2 linked regions of the Saccharomyces cerevisiae S288C genome follow. The gene in region 1 interacts genetically with each later gene. Each region holds a gene or a part of one and is shown on either strand. Other genes may lie near its edges.

Region 1 (3,092 bases):
AAAAATCCTGATTTATATTCATTTTATTACTGTATTCCTTTTTTCAAGGCGGGAGAAACTTATACCGCCATAGTAAAATAAATAGTGACTAAGGTAGCCAGAACTTCTCATCAACAAATTGCGAAATTAATTTCTCTTAGAAAAGCCATTCATTGGAAAAATGAAATACCGTAAATTTTAATCATCCATTGCAAGATCTTTTATATACTCTGTGCAGTTTTTTCAACTCTAGCCAATTTATCCTGTCGTTGAAATCTAAATCTCTAAGAGCAATTTGAGATTTCGATATACATTCGGAGAAAAATTATTTTTACGCTGACGTTATATTTAAAGTTCGGAACGCATACACATTAAAAATCCTTTTTTCAAAAAACAACAAAAATATTTTAGTATTTTCAAATATTAAAAAAGAAAAATAAATATTTTGTTAGGTAGTCATGTGATTTTTTGTCACGTTTTGTTGAGTTATATTATCTCAAGTGTAGTAAATCGCTTTATTTAACAGTTGTGTTAATTAACTAAGGTTCATAGACAGATTGCACATGGTAATCGAAAGCCTCATATTGAAAGGGCCATCACATCCCTAAATATATTTAGTAGTTTTAAATTATTAATTTTTTTAAGGATACGCTATAAAGGATTACATAATAGAAGATACAATTAAGTAGTACAGCTCAACAGCTACAAGAATTATTTTCTCCATCTAGGCGAATATTGATGGCATCATTATAGTCATCTTCAAAGGCTTCTGTATCAGCTTGATTCTGTTGTAAAGCACTCCTTGCAATTTCTTCAAATGCGGTATCAACGTTTATGGCGTTTTTGGCACTTGTTAAAAACAAAGGAATATCGCCTAATGATTTAGCAAGCTCCTGAGCGGACTTTTCTGATACAATTTTTTTAGATTCTTCGGCATCAATTTTATTTCCCAGTATAACAAATGGAAATGTTTCTGGTGAGTTTACGTTCGCATGCACTAGAAATTCATCTCGCCAAGACTTAATATTCTCAAAGGAACTGGCATTGGTCACATCGTAGACCAAAACGCAACAATCTGCACCTCTATAGAAAGCAACACCCAGTGATTGGAAACGTTCCTGTCCAGCAGTATCCCAAACTTGCATGGTGGCAACTTTATCACCGTCAACTGTCACCTCTTTTGTTAAAAAGTCAGCCCCAATTGTTGCTTTATACTGTTGAGAATACTTATCATTGACATAACGGTGCATCAAGGAGGTCTTCCCAACACCAGAGTCACCTAGGATGATTACTTTCAAAATATTTTTTTTTCTAGAAGACATCACTTAATTTGAATTGATACAGAAGGGGTTTCTATATGGATAAGAAGTGGACTGGATGAGCTTATTCCTCTTATTTTGTTGGTGATTCCCAATGCTGTTCCTCTGTAACGACTGCTTTCAAGATAAAGGTACAGATTAACAAAAGGAACTTCTTCTCTCAGTAGGTCGAAATGCGAAAAGTTAATCCGCGAGATACAAACGTTACCCGTACCGGTGAGTTCTGAGGTTATTCCAATCACTGAAGAATCGTCAGCTATTACAGAGTAAAACAGCTGTCACTCTTTTCGAGTTACGGAGCTGCCCGTATATATATATATATGTAATGATGTTTCTTTCAAACTCTTTATCTCTTATTTTTGGGTAAAAAATTCTATAGAACAAGTGAGAAGAAGGTAAAATATTGCAATGCTCAGTCAATCTTAAACACATTCTTGAAGAACGCTAATGTTGGTTGTGGCAAATGCCACAAGACTACGCTGATCTAAGCACGCCTTCCTGAACTCCATATAATTGCTTAGTTCCTCGGCCAACCTTTCGTGAGCTACAAAAATTTCGCTTCCAAGTTCTTTGAGCATTTTTGAAGAGGCCTTTATCTGAACCGCTAGTCTTTGCTCCGATTGTTCACGCTTCGTTTCAATAAAACCACCAAGTGGAGCACGACTAGAGGTATCTGATGCACTTTTTGGCTTAACCATGTTAGGAAAAGCCTTCCGATAGCTTTTATGTAAAGCTAAAAACTCACCATAATGTTTCCACCAGTTCGGAATTTTTTCAAATAAAATTATCTGAACGAAACTAGATAGTTGGATAGTACATTGTTCCAAGAAACGCACGTTTTCTAGTAGTGCTGCTAGCGATAATTCACTGAACATATTATGATTTGTTATAATCCCCTTAAATGCGCTGGATGCTTCACTATTAATTAATTTTCTACCCATTTCGTTAAGACCCTTATAAGCATCCTCGAAATCATCGGATTTCAAATTAATAAATATTAAGACTTTCCTCAAAATATTCAAGCTTGCCTTAAATGATGAAATCTCATCAAAATTAAAACGTAAAAAGCTTTGTATCATATTAATCTCCTCGGGTTCCATTGTTTTTGGATTTTCTTTTCCTGAGGGTTTCTGGTTTCTTTTAGAAGTGTTTATGCGCATCCAATATAAGATAGAAGCCTCATCAGTGAACAAATTTTCTGGAATTTTTTTCAGGAATAAAAGAACGTTGAAGCAGTTAGTTAATTGGTGAAGTAACGATGTGACATCTGTTTTCCCGATTATTGTTAAATCAGAACGGTTTAAGTGCGATATTTCATCGATATAGGTATTTAATGGCAAAAAGGTGAACGGATTGTCTTTCAGAATTGAGCGTAGTAAGCCTTGAATTGTTTTCATGTTAATAACAGTAGTGGCGAAAGGTTTCTCTGCATTTGAAACGGATGTTATATTTGTTGTCGCATTTAAATTATGATATCGCAAAGAATGAAAATATATTAATCCAAAAAGTGAATCTTTGACACCCCTTTCTCCTATCTTGCTTAGTACCGAGTGATCTTTTGCATAATCAAAACAAGTGAAGAAGGTCGAGTTTTGAACCTTCTCTAATATAAGTCGACGGTCTTTCGTGATGGCGTCAATATTACTTAGTCTTTTGTACTTCACATATACCATTAATGGCGTCAATCCCTTATAATTTTCCTCATTAATATCTAGCTTAGTCAGTTGTAAAAGGATTGGAATGTTTGTTTTCAAAACATGCAACAAGCTATTGCCCTTATTATCGGTGTGGTCT
Region 2 (3,995 bases), 590 kb from region 1:
ATCCTTACCAGCGGCGACAGTGTTGGAAACACCTGAGGACCCGGAATACGAGAACCCAACGTTGACAGGCTGGTCAAGGAAGATCACGGTGGCATTGCTGTTCCAAGAGTAAGGGTTCCCGATGGGTTTCAAATCAGGTCCAATGGATGAGGGTCCTAATTCAAAGAACAGCCCGGTTAGTGAAGAACAACCTGGACCCCCGTTCAACCAAAGGATGACCGGATCCTTTGCAGGATCGTTTCTACTTTCAAAAGTCCAAAAGAAGAAATGCTTGTCCTCGTCTTCCACATCCAAGTAACCCGTGTACTGTGTGACATTTGGGTCAATGCCCAGGATTTTAGGGTCCTTAATCTTGTTGACACGAAGCTGATAGTTTTCAATTGCGTCATTCTTGACCACAAAGTCCCAGTCTTTCTTCGTTTTGATTGCTTCAGGGAATTTTGGCTTAGTGGAAGTTTCAAGGCTCATAACCTGGTTTGGGTACAAATGCTCTATTTGGGCCCAAGCGTCCAATACATTGGAGTCCAACTCCTTCAAGAGATGATCCAGGTCGAGGTCCAAACCAAATTTTTCCGCAGCTTGCAGCAAAACGTCCTTATCTAGACCCAACGGTCTTTGCAATGAGATGGCCTTAGCGAGTGTAGTGGACAGGCCTAGTCCACATAGTAAACTGGTGAATGCTTTCATAGCGTATGTATACTTTAAGTTGAGTAGAAAAGAAACAATCTCTAGTGAGTATTCTTTCTCTCTCTCTCTCTTGTCTTGTTAAGACTAGGAGGGAAGACGAAAAGAATTATTTCGGAGCTTTTTTGCTGGCATTCTTATCTCGTGCTTTTATTAGTGGGCCCCTTCTTTGAGACCCCGCGGGTGATATGGCCCCTGTCTCAATGATGGATAAAGTTGTTGGAAGCAATTACCAAGACAATCACAAACGAAGGTTGCTACCGAAGTGTACTGGATGACCAACATCGCTATGATTAAATAAGACTATACATAATAGACAAGGGTGGCGCGGCTCCATTCCCAGGGAGACACAAACACGAGGTAAGTCTCAAAAAACCGAAGTTTCGCTCTAAAACTGCACGTAAAGGTCGTGGTATTGACTACAACCATTGACTGTTACATTGTGTAGAAGAAAGGTCCTCACATACTGCTCTGTCAATATGGCTTCTTGTGCAGAAGGTCAATATGTACTATTTCCATGAACCCACAAAATAAGGGAAAAAAAACACTGGAAATAACCGCCACACATACCGTATAAAAGTACATCTCTTTATACGAGTTACTTACTAGACCCTAACCAATGCCTTCAAAAAACAGGACAGACCCTAAAAACTACCATAAGAGACCTAACATATGTATCATCATATACGGAAATCGATTTCGCGTATTTTTTTTTTTTTGAGGCGCCATGATTTCTTACACGGTTTCTTTTTTTTTTCCTTCTTTCCTTCTTGCTTCTCTGCTAACAAATTTTTCACTCATTCTTTTTTATAGGGGCATATTGCTGCGGTTAACTGTAGTGAACGAAAGTAAGATTGAGAAAATATAGTACTTAAGAAAAAGAAAAGGAAAAATAAAAAAAATTCTTTTCAACATCATCGAGTAGCACAGTATAAGAGCGCTCTAACCTTCTGCCTGGCCTCCAATATACACATTTTGCTCGTGTAGGGTTATTTATCCTTTTTTCTTCCTTCCCACCCAAAAAAAAAAAGCAATGGCACACATCCCAGAGGTTTTACCCAAATCAATACCGATTCCGGCATTTATTGTTACCACCTCATCGTACCTATGGTACTACTTCAATCTGGTGTTGACTCAAATCCCGGGAGGCCAATTCATCGTTTCGTACATCAAGAAATCGCATCATGACGATCCATACAGGACCACGGTTGAGATAGGGCTTATTTTATACGGGATCATCTATTACTTGTCCAAGCCACAACAGAAAAAGAGTCTTCAAGCACAGAAGCCCAACCTATCGCCCCAGGAGATTGACGCGCTAATTGAGGACTGGGAGCCCGAGCCTCTAGTCGACCCTTCTGCCACCGATGAGCAATCGTGGAGGGTGGCCAAAACACCCGTCACCATGGAAATGCCCATTCAGAACCATATTACTATCACCAGAAACAACCTGCAGGAGAAGTATACCAATGTTTTCAATTTGGCCTCGAACAACTTTTTGCAATTGTCCGCTACGGAGCCCGTGAAAGAAGTGGTCAAGACCACTATCAAGAATTACGGTGTGGGCGCCTGTGGTCCCGCCGGGTTCTACGGTAACCAGGACGTTCATTACACGTTGGAATATGATTTAGCACAGTTCTTTGGCACCCAAGGTTCCGTTCTGTACGGGCAAGACTTTTGTGCCGCACCCTCTGTTCTGCCTGCTTTCACAAAGCGTGGTGATGTTATCGTGGCAGACGACCAGGTGTCATTACCAGTGCAAAATGCTCTGCAACTAAGCAGATCCACAGTCTACTACTTCAACCACAACGATATGAATTCGCTAGAATGTTTATTAAACGAGTTGACCGAACAGGAGAAACTTGAGAAACTGCCCGCCATTCCAAGAAAATTTATCGTCACTGAGGGTATTTTCCACAACTCGGGCGATTTAGCTCCGTTGCCTGAGTTGACTAAGCTGAAGAACAAGTACAAGTTCAGACTATTTGTTGACGAAACCTTCTCCATTGGTGTTCTTGGCGCTACGGGCCGTGGGTTGTCAGAGCACTTCAACATGGATCGCGCAACTGCCATTGACATTACCGTTGGGTCCATGGCCACCGCGTTGGGGTCCACCGGTGGTTTTGTCCTGGGTGACAGTGTTATGTGTTTGCACCAGCGTATTGGTTCCAATGCATATTGTTTTTCTGCCTGTTTGCCGGCTTACACCGTCACATCCGTCTCCAAAGTCTTGAAATTGATGGACTCCAACAACGACGCCGTCCAGACGCTGCAAAAACTATCCAAATCTTTGCATGATTCCTTTGCATCTGACGACTCCTTGCGTTCATACGTAATCGTCACGTCCTCTCCAGTGTCTGCTGTCCTACATCTGCAACTGACTCCCGCATATAGGTCTCGCAAGTTCGGATACACCTGCGAACAGCTATTCGAAACCATGTCAGCTTTGCAAAAGAAGTCCCAGACAAACAAATTCATTGAGCCATACGAAGAGGAGGAAAAATTTCTGCAGTCCATAGTAGATCATGCTCTTATTAACTACAACGTTCTCATCACAAGAAACACTATTGTTTTAAAACAGGAGACGCTACCAATTGTCCCTAGCTTGAAAATCTGCTGTAACGCCGCCATGTCCCCAGAGGAACTCAAAAATGCTTGCGAAAGTGTCAAGCAGTCCATCCTTGCCTGTTGCCAAGAATCTAATAAATAAAAATAGAAAGCCAGTATATGCACACGCACATATATATATAAATATTTATACAATAATACAAATAATCGTAACATCATCTCTGTCAAATTGACGTGGTGCACGGCGCCCAGAGAATGCGCTAAAAATTTTCGGATCCGAAATTTTCTTTCCTTTTACCATCGAGGCAAAGCAACCTGTATTATTTATTTGTTTATTTATTAATAGAAAAGAAAGGAGTACTTTCGTGGTACGCTTTCTTGAGCATTTTCGGTTTCACTAGGCAGAGAACTAACACAAGAGACACAGCAAACATCAAACAAGGTTAAAACAGCACACCAAGGCAATATGATGCATTTTAGAAAGAAATCCAGTATCAGTAACACGAGTGATCATGACGGAGCGAACCGTGCCTCAGATGTCAAGATTTCTGAAGATGACAAGGCAAGATTGAAGATGCGTACTGCTTCCGTTGCTGATCCTATTCTAGACGCTGTGCAGGAAGCCCAACCTTTTGAACAAGCTGCTGATACCTTCCACGACAACATGAACAGACAATCTTATTTTTCCAACGAAGAAGGTCATGTTCTGTGTGATGTTTTCGGTCAACCCATCACACAGGCAG

Evidence for each region. A genetic interaction does not mean that the proteins touch.
Region 2: mutations in YPT7 (region 1) and LCB1 together harm fitness more than expected from each alone (negative genetic interaction), as found in Saccharomyces cerevisiae (2 studies listed by BioGRID).

What each region holds. Positions count from the first base shown.
Region 1 is NC_001145.3:265,383-268,474, reverse strand, and holds YPT7 (Rab family GTPase YPT7), read right to left. Parts: upstream 1,302-3,092; coding exon 675-1,301; downstream 1-674. Other genes in the region: VRL1 (Vrl1p), read right to left, coding at 1,721-3,092. UniProt on the Saccharomyces cerevisiae protein: Ypt/Rab-type GTPases are key regulators of membrane trafficking and intracellular vesicular transport.
Region 2 is NC_001145.3:858,614-862,608, reverse strand, and holds LCB1 (serine C-palmitoyltransferase LCB1), read left to right. Parts: upstream 1-1,717; coding exon 1,718-3,394; downstream 3,395-3,995. Other genes in the region: carboxypeptidase C PRC1, read right to left, coding at 1-687; GSR1 (Gsr1p), read left to right, coding at 3,719-3,995. UniProt on the Saccharomyces cerevisiae protein: Component of serine palmitoyltransferase (SPT), which catalyzes the committed step in the synthesis of sphingolipids, the condensation of serine with palmitoyl CoA to form the long chain base 3-ketosphinganine.